Linked DNA regions of Saccharomyces cerevisiae S288C. The protein of the gene in region 1 interacts with the protein of each later gene in a biochemical or structural test. Each region holds a gene or a part of one and is shown in the gene's direction. Other genes may lie near its edges. The genes, in order: TUP1, MOT3, RDR1 and DAL80.

What was found.
Region 2: the proteins of TUP1 (region 1) and MOT3 form a complex in vitro, tested with the Saccharomyces cerevisiae proteins (one study listed by BioGRID).
Region 3: the proteins of TUP1 (region 1) and RDR1 form a complex in vitro, tested with the Saccharomyces cerevisiae proteins (one study listed by BioGRID).
Region 4: the proteins of TUP1 (region 1) and DAL80 form a complex in vitro, tested with the Saccharomyces cerevisiae proteins (one study listed by BioGRID).

Annotation. Positions count from the first base shown.
Region 1 is NC_001135.5:259,773-264,464, reverse strand, and holds TUP1 (chromatin-silencing transcriptional regulator TUP1), read left to right. Parts: upstream 1-2,012; coding exon 2,013-4,154; downstream 4,155-4,692. Other genes in the region: YCR087C-A (uncharacterized protein), read left to right, coding at 1-459; CSM1 (Csm1p), read right to left, coding at 501-1,073; YCR085W (uncharacterized protein), read right to left, coding at 1,196-1,549; TRX3 (Trx3p), read right to left, coding at 4,504-4,692. UniProt on the Saccharomyces cerevisiae protein: Acts as a component of the CYC8-TUP1 corepressor complex which is involved in the repression of many genes in a wide variety of physiological processes including heme-regulated and catabolite repressed genes.
Region 2 is NC_001145.3:407,528-411,195, forward strand, and holds MOT3 (Mot3p), read left to right. Parts: upstream 1-1,626; coding exon 1,627-3,099; downstream 3,100-3,668. Other genes in the region: AVO2 (Avo2p), read left to right, coding at 1-57; NAT4 (N-terminal L-serine N(alpha)-acetyltransferase NatD), read left to right, coding at 182-1,039; TVP18 (Tvp18p), read right to left, coding at 3,235-3,668. UniProt on the Saccharomyces cerevisiae protein: Transcription factor that affects the expression of a large set of genes. Recognizes and binds to the consensus sequence 5'-[CAT]AGG[TC]A-3' in the promoter region. Plays a major role in the repression of a specific subset of hypoxic genes (e.g.
Region 3 is NC_001147.6:1,049,717-1,053,499, forward strand, and holds RDR1 (Rdr1p), read left to right. Parts: upstream 1-1,573; coding exon 1,574-3,214; downstream 3,215-3,783. Other genes in the region: AMF1 (Amf1p), read left to right, coding at 1-1,342. UniProt on the Saccharomyces cerevisiae protein: Transcriptional repressor of multidrug resistance genes, such as PDR5. Required for growth on non-fermentable carbon sources like lactate or glycerol.
Region 4 is NC_001143.9:505,055-508,207, forward strand, and holds DAL80 (Dal80p), read left to right. Parts: upstream 1-1,843; coding exon 1,844-2,653; downstream 2,654-3,153. Other genes in the region: SPO14 (phospholipase D), read right to left, coding at 1-1,341; YKR032W (uncharacterized protein), read left to right, coding at 1,463-1,777; DID2 (Did2p), read left to right, coding at 2,885-3,153. UniProt on the Saccharomyces cerevisiae protein: Negative regulator of multiple nitrogen catabolic genes including the allantoin pathway genes.

The DNA of each region.
Region 1 (4,692 bases):
GTTACGTTCAACTGTGAGGTGTGTAATGATACTGTGCCCAAGAAGAATACCGAAAAGCATTATTATAGATGTCCTAACGCGTACTATACATGCATAGATTGCTCCAAGACGTTTGAAGATGGCGTGAGTTACAAGAATCACACGTCTTGCATCAGCGAGGACGAGAAGTACCAGAAAGCGTTGTACAAGGGCAACAAGAAGCAGAAGCAGAAGCAGCAGCAGAAGCAGCAGCAGAAGCAGCACCAGCACCAGCCAGTGGCAACTCCTGCAAAGAAAGTGGAGAAGCCTGTGATCAAGAAGGCAGAGAAAGTGGAAAAGACCTCGAACGGTATCGAGCTTCACAAGGGCAAGTCGTTGTACAAAATTTTGAAAACCATGAAGGATAAAGGGGCAAAAAAGACCTTCTTGAAAAGTCTGGTTGTGGATTCTGAGGGGCAAATCAGGTATGCAAAGGAATAATCGGAATTTTATGTGTAGATATATAGACATTATGTAGCAGCTTACTCGGTTTCATCTTTTTTCTCTCTTTTCTTATTCAGGCTTTTAGCGATTTTGTTATAGAATTGGTTTAGCGACGAGAGGGGGAAACTCAACGTTTCGAAGAGGTATTCCGGTAGTTTCGACTGTAGCGAGTATAGTTCCTCGGTGGATCGCTGTTTAAGAACGGGCGCATATATGACTTCTGTGACTTGGGCCTGGCCCTTGACAAATCCGAGTTTATAGTCCATTATCGAATAATCATCGGAAGATCCCCCTGAGTGGGTGCCCTGCGAGATGTCGAACCACAACCCAGAATCATCCTCGTAGCTTTTATGTACACGTACGTTACAGAGGTACTCGTAAAGGTCCTTTATGACTTCTGAATTTTCTGCCTGTTGGGAAGTCTGAGTCTTCAGCTCCTTGACTTGTGCGTTTAGCGAGTCTATCTGCTTCTGCAGCTGTTTGATCTCGGTTGCTTTTGTATCCAGCTTCTCCGACAGTACGAAATTCTCATTTACCAAATTTGCCACTAGTAAGTCTGCGGAATCGATCTGTTGTTTCACTGAGTTTTTGTATACAGTCAATGGATCCATTTTGCGCACGTTGGATTGTCTTGTTTCGCTTTCTTTTTTTTATTGTTCCTGTTTATCTATCTAATGACCTTCTTGTCTGTCTGCTTCTTCACTGTTTTGATTTCAATGTGACCTTTTTCCAATCATTTTTCAATGTAAACAAATACAAGATATTGAAGCATAAACAAAATAAAATGAAATAATACGGGAAGAGCGCAGAGGGTGAACAGAATAAGGCGAGCCATAATGAGGCCGCCCTTCTTCACTCTTGACGCCAGTTGAGTGAGGGACTGAATACTATATACAGTAAATAATTCGTAAAATTGATATTTAGTTTTACCAAGCATTGCCAGGCCGCAAATCAGACCGTTATCCGTTGTAACTTCTTCAGCTATAAAACAATGCGCTGACGTTTTTGATAGCATAACAGATGTTTCATTGTAAACATCATTATTTGTACATAAAAAGACATAAACATATGTATATAAGAACAACATAAACAAATAAATAAACCAGGAAAGCCCTAATTTACCCTTCTTTTTGGCTGAGCAATCTAGGAGTTAATAATTTTTTGGAACTTTCACCCTAACATTTTTAGAGACAGAACCCTCTTACATTATCGCTACCGACGGACCTTAATTTTTCGTACTTTTCAAAAAACACTGAAAAACTGCGAAAAAATTAAAAAGCTCTCCCGTCAAAGCAACAAACAACAAAACAAAATAACAAGTACATAAGTAAACAAATAGAGAGAAATTCCCCCATCTACCCCCAATTGATAAACATCAGCGAAGCAAGAACAACTGGCTGAACACGTGCCCCTCTATCTGTCCTTCTGCAATTGTTTAATTTTCTTTCACGCCAAGTTACCTTTCGCACACCACTACTCTTTTTCTATTGTTTTTTTGTCTTTTTTGATAAGCAGGGGAAGAAAGAAATCAGCTTTCCATCCAAACCAATATGACTGCCAGCGTTTCGAATACGCAGAATAAGCTGAATGAGCTTCTCGATGCCATCAGACAGGAGTTTCTCCAAGTCTCACAAGAGGCAAATACCTACCGTCTTCAAAACCAAAAGGATTACGATTTCAAAATGAACCAGCAGCTGGCTGAGATGCAGCAGATAAGAAACACCGTCTACGAACTGGAACTAACTCACAGGAAAATGAAGGACGCGTACGAAGAAGAGATCAAGCACTTGAAACTAGGGCTGGAGCAAAGAGACCATCAAATTGCATCTTTGACCGTCCAGCAACAGCGGCAACAGCAACAGCAGCAACAGGTCCAGCAGCATTTACAACAGCAACAGCAGCAGCTAGCCGCTGCATCTGCATCTGTTCCAGTTGCGCAACAACCACCGGCTACTACTTCGGCCACCGCCACTCCAGCAGCAAACACAACTACTGGTTCGCCATCGGCCTTCCCAGTACAAGCTAGCCGTCCTAATCTGGTTGGCTCACAGTTGCCTACCACCACTTTGCCTGTGGTGTCCTCAAACGCCCAACAACAACTACCACAACAGCAACTGCAACAGCAGCAACTTCAACAACAGCAACCACCTCCCCAGGTTTCCGTGGCACCATTGAGTAACACAGCCATCAACGGATCTCCTACTTCTAAAGAGACCACTACTTTACCCTCTGTCAAGGCACCTGAATCTACGTTGAAAGAAACTGAACCGGAAAATAATAATACCTCGAAGATAAATGACACCGGATCCGCCACCACGGCCACCACTACCACCGCAACTGAAACTGAAATCAAACCTAAGGAGGAAGACGCCACCCCGGCTAGTTTGCACCAGGATCACTACTTAGTCCCTTATAATCAAAGAGCAAACCACTCTAAACCTATCCCACCTTTCCTTTTGGATCTAGATTCCCAGTCTGTTCCCGATGCTCTGAAGAAGCAAACAAATGATTATTATATTTTATACAACCCGGCACTACCAAGAGAAATTGACGTTGAGTTACACAAATCTTTGGATCATACTTCAGTTGTTTGTTGCGTGAAGTTCAGTAACGATGGTGAATACTTAGCCACAGGCTGCAACAAAACTACTCAAGTGTATCGCGTTTCAGATGGTTCTCTGGTGGCCCGTCTATCTGACGATTCTGCTGCCAATAACCATCGAAATTCGATCACTGAAAATAACACCACCACGTCCACGGATAACAATACAATGACAACCACTACTACCACCACAATTACTACCACAGCGATGACTTCGGCAGCAGAATTGGCAAAAGATGTGGAAAACCTGAACACTTCGTCTTCCCCATCATCCGACTTGTATATCCGTTCAGTGTGTTTTTCTCCAGATGGGAAATTTTTGGCAACAGGTGCTGAAGACAGACTGATTAGAATTTGGGATATTGAAAATAGAAAGATTGTTATGATTCTTCAAGGCCACGAACAAGATATTTATTCATTGGACTACTTTCCCTCAGGTGACAAATTAGTCTCCGGTTCTGGTGACCGTACCGTTCGTATTTGGGACTTACGTACAGGCCAGTGTTCATTGACTTTATCCATTGAAGATGGTGTTACCACCGTCGCTGTATCACCAGGTGATGGTAAATACATCGCTGCTGGTTCTCTAGATCGTGCTGTGAGAGTTTGGGATTCCGAGACCGGATTCTTGGTGGAAAGACTAGATTCGGAAAACGAATCCGGTACAGGCCACAAGGACTCTGTTTATAGCGTTGTCTTCACTAGAGATGGACAAAGCGTTGTATCCGGCTCATTAGATAGATCTGTTAAGCTCTGGAATTTGCAGAATGCAAACAACAAGAGCGATTCGAAAACTCCAAATTCCGGCACTTGTGAAGTTACGTATATCGGGCATAAAGACTTTGTATTGTCCGTGGCCACCACACAAAATGATGAGTACATCTTGTCCGGTTCCAAAGATCGTGGTGTCCTGTTTTGGGATAAGAAATCCGGCAATCCGTTATTGATGTTGCAAGGTCATAGGAATTCAGTTATATCTGTGGCTGTGGCAAACGGGTCTCCGCTGGGTCCAGAATATAACGTTTTTGCTACTGGTAGCGGTGATTGTAAAGCAAGGATTTGGAAGTATAAAAAAATAGCGCCAAATTAAGAACAGAACACAAAAGGAACACTTTACAAATGTAACTAACTAAACTATTCTTCAATTCATTGTCATTATATCTTTCTCTCTATTCTTTTTTATCTACTTATTTGTTATGTTATGATCCAGGTACGCTTTAAAACAAACAGTTACTTTCCTCACCATTCATCCCTTCCCCTCCTTTTCCTGTGTTTCTGAATATTGCGGTTCATTATTCTTTGATATGAATTTATTTGTGTATTGTATAAGCTTACTTTCCTTTTATATGTATATGTATATATATATATATATATACTATCTTTTTTCTTATATTTAAAACTAAAAAAAAAAAAACTACATGTGCTCATGAATATAAAATTTATAGATCTTTGATTCCCTTCTCTAAAGCAGTAGGGTTAGCTCCAATGATCTTGCCGATGAGTTGGCCATCCTTGCCAAGAACAAAGGTGGGCATAGCCGTCACTTCACACTCTTTGGCAATATCTGGTGATTCGTCCACGTCGCACTTGACAAATCTTACATCTGGATAAGCCTGAATTAATTTCGT
Region 2 (3,668 bases), on another chromosome or scaffold:
CTGAACATACCCATCTCAAAATTAAGAAATAGCAATAACACGCGTGCAGAAGATTGAGAAGACTACTACGTATTTTTTTTTATATGCATCCTTTTTTCCACATATGTATGCGCGGTGCGCGCGCGCCATTAAAAGATTTTTTTCTTAGCTCTTTTTCTTTTTTCTTTTTCTTTCCACTGAGATGCGTTCTTCGGTATATAGTGAGAACACTTACAACTGTATACGAACATCGAAGGAGCACCTAACAGAAAGAAGGAGGGTCGCCATGGCGCCAATGTTCCAACATTTCTTAAACTTATGCGTGGAAAAATTTCCTGAATCCATCGAGCACAAGGATACAGATGGAAACGGTAACTTCACCACCGCTATTTTAGAAAGGGAGATTATCTACATCCCCGAAGATGACACTGACAGTATTGACAGCGTTGACAGCCTCAAGTGTATAAACTACAAGCTGCACAAATCTCGCGGCGACCAAGTGCTGGACGCCTGTGTGCAATTGATAGACAAGCACCTGGGCGCCAAGTATCGCCGGGCCTCGCGCATTATGTACGGCAACAGGAAACCATGGAAGGCAAACAAACTCGCAGAGATGAAAAGCGCCGGCCTTGTGTATGTCTGTTACTGGGACAACGGCGTGCTAGGTGCATTTACTTCATTCATGCTTACAGAGGAGACGGGTCTCGTCGAAGGTGACGCTTTACACGAGGTTAGCGTGCCCGTGATATACCTTTACGAAGTACATGTAGCTAGCGCGCACCGCGGGCATGGAATCGGTCGGCGGCTACTGGAGCATGCACTGTGCGATGGCGTAGCTCGACACACCCGCCGCATGTGCGACAATTTCTTCGGTGTAGCACTCACCGTATTCAGTGATAACACTCGGGCCCGGCGACTATATGAGGCGCTTGGGTTCTACCGCGCTCCGGGATCACCCGCACCAGCATCACCCACAATTCGTCACACGCGACATGGTGGGGGACGTGTAGTCGTGCCCTGCGATCCGCTTTATTACGTATATTGCCTTCACATGCCGTGAAAGCCGACAGGGACAACGCGCGATAAAAAAAAAATTAAAAGTAAAACTACGTACGCGGCGGCGCGACTCGAATCCTTGACTCCGACTGAGGAGACCCGAACAACGCTCCCTGCTCTCCGCCTTCGGCGCCTTCCGATAACTGCGCACGGCAAGGAGTAGTGGCGATAACGGTGTTTATTGCCGGTTTTTTCGTTTTTCTTCTTGATTTTCTTCTTTTTTTTCCTCAAAAGATGTGCTGTAGCCTCCGCTGTTGTTTTTTTTTATCCTACCAAGGCGCATCATCCTGTCATGATCTGCGCTGGATAGTATTTATACTACTACTCCGTCTGGATTTACTAAACTTTGTCTCTCTTTTGATGTAAAGTTAAAGAAGAATTACGAAAAAAGAGAGAAAAAATAGAAACAAATAATAGGAATTAAGGCCTTGTAGCAATCAAAAAAAAAAAGAAAAAAAAGGAATTTTTTTTGGAAGAAAACTTGAACAAAACAATTCCTCAAGAAGGAACAGGTACAAGAAAAGATTTAACAGAAGGAAAACTAATAGGCAACAGTAGGCAAATAGTAAAGGGACATATCATATTTGAGCAATGAATGCGGACCATCACCTGCAACAGCAGCAGCAACAGCGACAACAGCATCAACAACAACAGCATCAACAACAACAGCATCAGCATCAGCATCAACAGCAGCAGCACACGATATTACAAAATGTGTCGAACACTAACAATATCGGCAGCGATTCGCTGGCGTCACAGCCTTTCAACACGACTACTGTTTCCTCTAACAAGGACGACGTTATGGTGAACTCTGGGGCAAGAGAACTTCCAATGCCCTTACATCAGCAGCAGTATATATACCCTTACTATCAGTATACAAGTAATAACAGTAACAACAATAATGTGACGGCTGGTAACAATATGTCTGCGTCGCCGATTGTCCATAACAACAGCAACAACAGCAACAACAGCAATATTTCTGCTTCTGATTACACTGTCGCAAACAACAGTACTAGCAATAATAACAATAATAATAATAATAACAACAATAATAACAATAATATTCACCCAAACCAGTTTACTGCGGCCGCAAATATGAACTCAAATGCTGCAGCGGCTGCTTATTACTCCTTCCCCACTGCGAATATGCCAATACCGCAACAGGATCAACAATATATGTTCAATCCTGCTTCATACATAAGCCATTACTATTCAGCAGTTAACAGCAATAACAATGGTAATAACGCCGCTAACAATGGCAGCAACAACTCTTCTCACTCAGCCCCAGCCCCGGCCCCCGGTCCACCCCATCACCATCACCATCATAGTAATACACACAACAACCTCAACAATGGTGGTGCTGTAAATACAAACAACGCTCCTCAGCACCATCCAACGATAATAACGGATCAATTTCAATTCCAACTACAACAAAACCCTTCTCCAAATTTGAATCTCAATATTAACCCGGCACAACCTCTGCATCTACCTCCTGGTTGGAAAATAAACACTATGCCGCAACCACGTCCTACGACAGCACCTAACCATCCCCCTGCGCCGGTGCCTTCTTCGAACCCTGTGGCCTCGAACTTGGTTCCTGCCCCATCATCAGACCATAAATATATCCATCAATGCCAATTTTGTGAGAAGTCTTTCAAAAGAAAATCATGGTTGAAAAGGCACCTATTGTCACACTCGCAACAAAGACATTTTCTATGCCCTTGGTGCTTAAGCAGGCAGAAGAGAAAAGATAATCTTTTACAGCATATGAAACTCAAGCATACAAATTATTTATTAGACGAACTCAAGAAAAACAACATCATCTTTAACTACAACAATTCTTCCTCCTCTAATAATAACAACGACAATAATAATAATAATAACAGCAATAGCGCTAGCGGCAGTGGCGGTGCCGGTGCCGCGGCGGCAGCAGCAACAGCTCCCGAAAATGAAGATGGAAACGGTTACGATACAAACATCAAGACTTTAATCAATGATGGTGTACTGAATAAGGACGACGTTAAACGTGTTTTGAATAACCTTATTGTTAGTCACAACAAATAGATAGACTTTATAGACACACAAAATATCCCTTCCCACTCATTTAACAATCAAGATAATAGTAATAATCACAAATTTAGAAAGTAATTATGCATATATACATTATATACATATAGTTTATGTATGGTACGGAACTGATTACAACATCTCTCTAACAACGGCCTCGTGAGGGAAATCGTCATCTGTAGGATTTTTGATAATGTTCGTATTCTGGAACTCTTGGTGTTTAGTATATGCTACCGCATAACTGATTGACGATATCGTTAGCCCGACAGCTACCACAATTAGACTCGTAGCCATCACTGCAATGGAAATATACTGGATTATCGCCATTGCTAGATAGAAAAGACATCTCCATCCATTTGTTTCAAATCTCTTGATGAATTCAATGAAATTATCGCTAAGGGGACAGATTTTCAACAAAAATGGTATTTCAATGAATAGGATCACTAACCCTTGGATTATACTAATGATACCAAAAGCTATCACCCCACTAACGTGGAACAGATTCGCTATCCCGAGTGCAATACACAAGATTATGTTGATATATCCAAACCATCTACCATATACGC
Region 3 (3,783 bases), on another chromosome or scaffold:
CATCGGTAACAGTTTTGGAACAACGAATGCTGGACAACTTAGTTGGTTTGCTTCCGCATATTCGCTAACTGTTGGTACATTCATTTTAATTGCTGGAAGACTCGGAGATATCTTCGGACACAAGAAATTCTTTGTCCTTGGCTTCTTTTGGTACGCACTTTGGTCCTTACTTGCTGGGTTTAGCGTCTACTCTAATCAGATTTTTTTTGACTGCTGTCGTGCATTTCAAGGCATGGGTCCGGCCTTTTTGTTGCCAAATGCCATTGCGATTCTCGGACGCACATATAAGCCAGGAAGAAGAAAAAACATGGTCTTTAGTCTGTTTGGTGCTTCAGCACCTGGTGGCTTCTTCCTTGGGGCTGTTTTCTCATCCATGTTGGGTCAACTGGCGTGGTGGCCATGGGCTTACTGGATAATGGGTATTGCATGCTTTGTTTTAGCTGTAGCAGGTTACTTTGTAATCCCTCACACCCCCATGCCAAGCCGCGATGCCTCATCTTTCAAGTTGTTGGAACGAATCGATTTTGCAGGGTCAGTTACCGGCGTTGTTGGATTAATTCTCTTTAATTTCGCTTGGAACCAAGGCCCCGTTGTGGGTTGGCAAACTCCATACACATACGCTCTTTTGATAGTTGGTACCTTTTTCTTGGTTATTTTTGCATATATCGAGTCCCGAGCAGCTTTCCCTCTGCTACCATTTGCTGCTCTTTCTAGTGATACTGCTTTTGTACTTAGCTGCATAGCTGCGGGATGGGCCAGCTTTGGTATTTGGATATTCTATACATGGCAGTTCATGGAAGACTCAAGGGGCCAAACCCCCCTTCTTTCTAGTGCACAGTTTTCACCTGTAGCAATCAGTGGATTTTGTGCAGCCGTGACGACAGGTTTCCTTCTAAGCCATACACCCCCAAGCACAGTTATGCTTTTTGCGATGACAGCTTTCACAGTCGGAACTATATTGATTGCTACGGCCCCCGTTCACCAAACGTATTGGGCTCAAACGTTTGTGTCAATCATTGTTATGCCTTGGGGAATGGACATGTCCTTTCCGGCCGCTACAATAATGCTTAGTGACTCGATGCCACACGAACATCAAGGTCTTGCAGCCTCTTTGGTTAATACGGTGGTAAACTATTCGATATCGATAGGTTTGGGTATTGCAGGTACAATTGAATCTAGAGTAAATGACGGAGGTGCCAAGCCTTTGAAAGGATATCGTTGTTCGTGGTACATGGGCATCGGGTTGAGCGGACTTGGCATTTTTGTCGCAGCAACGTATGCATGGAGCACTTTTATGAAGTCTAAAAAAAGGATCTCCGAAAAGCAGCATTTTATAGAATAAGTTCATATATAGAGAAATACTTCATCGTGGTATATAACCCAAACTAATAGAAATAAATATAGTACGATCAAAGTGATAGAGAGGAGCCAGTATATCCCGTATCGTGCGATAAATATGAAAATTACAAGAGGCCATTCTCGAGTGAAAAGATACATTATTTTTTCAAGTAGAAACCTGAAAGAACTTCAGTAAGATAACTTAGCGCACACTTTCCTACTTTAAGCTCACCAAATGGCATCCCCAGGATCGACAGCATTACCACACAAGCGACAAAGAGTCCGAAAGGCTTGCGTGCCCTGTAGGGAACGTAAAAGGAAATGTAATGGCAAATCTCCATGTGAAATGTGCGTTGCCTATGGATATGTATGTCATTATATTGACGGTCGTGTCCCTTCGGCATCACCTCAAGTGCAACAAGTAGGTGAAACATCTCCTGATACGGAGAGCAGACCTTTTGTTCTTCCGGGTATACATAGAAACGAACAACCGCAGCCTATAAATACACAGAACGTTACAAGTCAAAACATTGTAGATCCAACTAAGTCTAGGTACACGATCCAGCACTCTGCAGTTGCTTTCCCCCGCTGTCTTGGTCTCGAACTCCGATCAACTAATCCTCCACGCCTACATTCCTTCGCTTGGCATTGCGGAATCAGACCGGAAGAAAATCCAAACTCACATGTCCTTCTTTCTGATTTAGTTACAAAGGAAGAGTATTACCGTATCTCAAAAGTTTATTTTTCAGTTGTTCACCCGATATTTGATGTTGTTAATCCAGAGCAACTGGCAAAGAATGTTGAAAAATACTGGGATGGCGACGTAAAAACCTTAGAGTATGGGGCTGTTATTGCAGGGGTGATAGCTTTAGGATCATTTTTTATGGGAAGTCTTGGCCATCCCCGAGAGATGGATATAGTACAATATGCCAAAGGGATCCTTGATGACCCGACTTTCAGTCGCATTCCCACGGTGGAGCAAGTCTCCGCATGGGTTTTGCGCACCATTTACCTGCGAGCCACTTCGAGGCCCCATGTAGCATGGTTAGCTAGCTGCGTAACCATCCATCTTTCTGAGGCAATTGGCCTGCATCATGAGATTGACAGAGAGGATATAGCGATATCGAACAACGTTCCACCAAAAAGAACTACTGTAGTGAGCGAACACACTAGAAGATTATTTTGGTGTGCATGGTCAATCAATACCATTCTTTCATATGACTATGGGCGCTCAAGTGTTACGCTGAATAGAATTACTTGCAAGCCAGTTAAGGAGACGGACGGTAATTTTACAGCTCATTTAGTCGCGTTAGCACACCTGATTCCCCAAGACAGCGTGAACGCAAACGCAGCGCAATTGTTGCAGGCCCTGGCGGCCGTTCATGAATCACCAAACGCACATCCGTTTTTGTCGTTGACCAAGGGTGATATATGCCTCTCTTTGTATAGAAGACTTCGTTTGCTGAATCATATTCTTGATAAAAATGTTGTTTTACAAATAATTGATATCGGCAACACTGCGCTATCAGCAGCATACGCTCTTGTAAAACTGGATCAAGCATGGTGGAATGTGTTGAGCACCTCATTCCAGTACGTCTGTGTCCTTCTTGCCATCGACACACCGGAAAGTCTTTCACATGTTGCTACTGCCATGAAAACGTTAGATAATATTACTCAAATTCTCGGTACACGTATTGCTTTTGAAGCACAAAAGACCGCAAAACTGCTTCTTGAGGATTCCATGAAAAAAAAAAGACAAGAAATTCAGCAGCTTGAGCAGGCAACTCACCAGAGATCTAATCTTGAAACTACTCACCTACTCGATATTGACTGGGATGCTTTGCTAGATCCATCAGACACGTTAAACTTTATGTAAAAGAGTATTATAGATTATGTGTATCGAGAAGCAAATTGATTTATAATTAGAGGGAATGGAATTGATGTTTAATACCTGCTTACTATATTTTATCTTTGATAATTGCGCAGAAAGTAATATATCCGGTATTTGAAAATAGGAAATTTAAAGAAATCCCGTCACGCCTGGAATGAGGGGTGAAACCTTGACTGATATTATATTCTTTTCTTGGACATAGTGTCTGAACCAAATGCAAATTGCACTGCATTGCACCAAATTGATGGTTCAAGTTCGATCTATAAAAATACGAGAGAAGGTCTGACTGTTTATGTCAATACTCAAGAGGCTCAGGAACAGTGTTAAAGCTTGGAAGTTCAATTCATTAAAGAAAAGTTGATAACGTCAGGTGGAAAACCGAAAGATAAAAATAAAAGCAAGTCAAGATTTGAAGTATTGCTGAGCGAAATTTTGTTTGAGTGGTCCGGAAATTTTTATACACTTTATTAGTATTTGGTTTAGTGTAGGTGGGAAAGCTTAGAACGTATGTAGAAAAACATCCCTGAAGAGTTCTCTAGATCTTATCATCAGCA
Region 4 (3,153 bases), on another chromosome or scaffold:
ATCGTCAGGTTCGTCAATTAAGTCTTGTAAATGTTTCATTTTGACGTTATCTATATTAAACTCAGATATTTCAGAAGATGATAAAGTTTCTAACGATGTAATGTTGCTGCCATTATCGTTATTGTTATTTTCCGATGTATGAGGAGCTGAGGCTGCAGAGGATGGTTTATTTTCTGCTTTTTTCTCCATTACATTTCTTTCTTTAACCATTTCTTTATAATGGGGGAAATGCGGAAGTTGTAACGAATGATATCTGTTGTTATCACTATAAAGCTTGCTTATAGTGAGTTGTTGGAACGCGACGATTTTCAATTTGTGATGTAGTGATTTGATATCTTTATAACTTCTTATAATAGACCATTTGAGCCTGTCTTCATCAATCCCATATTCCAAGTGTATTCTAAATAAAGAGTTTTCGTTCCTGCTATACATAAATTCCGCCACATTCGAAGAAATGCTTATAATGCTGGAGCTCCTTGGAATAGAGGGTCTCCTATCAGAATTCTCGCCAGTATTGTTGTTGTTGTTACCACGATGGTTATGGTTGCTATTGGTAATATCCAAAATGTTGTTGTCATTTTTCAAGGGAGACACTCTTACATCTAGTTTAGCTAATAGCAGAGGAGCCCTTCTCTTCCCATGTTCGTCTCTCAGAAATTGCGTGCTTGCGAACAATGAGGCCGGGCATCCTGCCAATAACGAATCTAATAAATCAGAGGCTAGTCTTTGTGTGTACAAATCTTCTTCGTTTACTTGTTGATGCTGGTGCTGGTTATGACGATGGCCGCTTCCAGCCGGTGTAGGAGAATTTACGCTGGATTTCAGTCTACCAATAGCAGAGATTTTCTTAAAAGCGTGGCCAAACTCTTTCTTCCAGCCATTGAACTGCTGTTGGGTGTAAGCTACAGAAGAAGAACGCCTTTGAGGGGCTCTTTCTTCCTCTCTTTTAGAATTCCGCTTAGAATGAACATTATTGTTACTGCTATGGAGATTGTTGTAGAGCCGGTGCATATTTTCCTCATCAGAACCTCGACGAGGATCATGTTCATTAGAGTGCATAATATGGTCTAATGAGTGGTTCGGTGACACATCACTCAGGTTTCTATCTACAAAGGATTTGGGCAATGCATGCTTCCTCTCCGCCTCCTTGCCGTTGGGAGTTCTTCGTTTTTCTCTTTGTAAACTGCTAGTCAGATTGCCATTCTCAGGTAATTGCCGCAATACTTCTTGGTTTTCTAACTCATCTGGTCTCGAATTTACTCTATCTACTTCTTCAGTCACCGATCTATCTGCCTGAGGTGGAGCGAAGTGAGTTCCAGACGCTGTTGACACGTTAGACATCACCCTTGTTTATCTATCCTACCTTTTCTTCTTGCGTACGTGCCTCTCAATGCGTCGTGTGAATTATCAGTGACCGGTCGTGCCTATAATGTCCTGCTAATTTCCCACTAAATCTTTCCCCATGGCGTATTCATCGTTATGTTTGTGTCTTTTGTTCAACCCAAAGGGCTGTAGCAATCTTCACCCGTTTGTCGTTGATAACGAGTTTCCACCTTATCACTTATCACTAGTGCTAATCAAACAGCAAAGAATGCTTGATAGAAACCGATCCTGGGCTTATCTCGCTGCATTGTGGCGGCATCCCTGGACTGTAATCAGCAAGTGTTGCTTAGTATATATATACATCCAGCGTCAGCTTGAATTTGGATACAGTTACTGTTTTTTCGATTTTCTCTTGGTTATTCTTTCTGAGACAGTAGTAATTTTGTATTACTGAGCGGGATATTGTTTATCTGCCGTCATACTATATTACATTATATTATATCATATTATATATAAGAGAATGGTGCTTAGTGATTCGTTGAAGCTGCCCTCGCCTACACTTTCAGCTGCTGCTGGAGTGGATGATTGTGACGGAGAGGACCACCCCACGTGCCAGAATTGTTTCACTGTCAAAACGCCCCTATGGAGAAGAGATGAACACGGTACTGTTCTCTGTAATGCATGTGGCCTCTTCCTGAAGTTGCACGGGGAACCAAGGCCTATCAGCTTGAAGACGGACACCATTAAGTCAAGAAATAGGAAAAAGCTGAATAACAACAATGTGAACACTAATGCCAATACCCATTCTAACGACCCAAATAAAATATTCAAGAGAAAGAAGAGACTGCTTACAACTGGTGGTGGTTCATTACCTACGAATAATCCGAAGGTTTCTATTCTGGAAAAGTTTATGGTGAGCGGGTCCATTAAGCCACTGTTAAAACCAAAGGAAACCGTTCCCAACACAAAGGAGTGCTCCACGCAGCGGGGAAAATTTTCTTTGGACCCCTGCGAACCTAGTGGGAAAAACTACCTCTATCAGATCAACGGTTCAGATATATACACGTCAAATATAGAGCTGACAAGGCTGCCTAATTTGTCAACATTATTAGAACCCTCACCTTTTTCAGATTCCGCTGTACCAGAAATAGAACTAACTTGGAAGCTACATAATGAGGAGGAGGTAATCAAATTGAAGACCAAGATAAGCGAATTGGAGTTGGTGACAGACCTATACAAAAAGCACATATTCCAACTGAACGAAAAATGCAAGCAACTGGAAGTGGAACTACACTCCAGAGCTTCAGTACAATCTCACCCACAACATTAAGAAAGGATGTAGCGTTCATGACAGTATAAATATAACAGGATATAGTATATAAAATTTAATATGATTTAGTGACACTTATTTTTACGCGAACGGGTAACACACTGCCATTTATCTGGTGCTGGAAAATTGCCCCTAAAGAAATGATAAGAATGAAAACGAATCAATGTGAAAGCAGTTTGATGAGATGTGAGCTACTTTGAAAGTATAGGAAGTCAGACATCGCACTGAGAAATGTCACGTAATTCTGCAGCAGGTTTGGAAAACACTCTTTTCCAACTAAAGTTTACATCAAAACAATTACAAAAGCAAGCCAATAAAGCCTCAAAGGAAGAAAAACAGGAAACTAATAAGCTCAAACGTGCTCTTAATGAAAATGAAGATATATCTCGTATATATGCATCCAATGCTATAAGAAAGAAAAATGAAAGATTACAACTGTTGAAGTTGGCATCACGGGTGGATTCGGTCGCATCAAGGGTACAAACCGCCGTCACGATGAG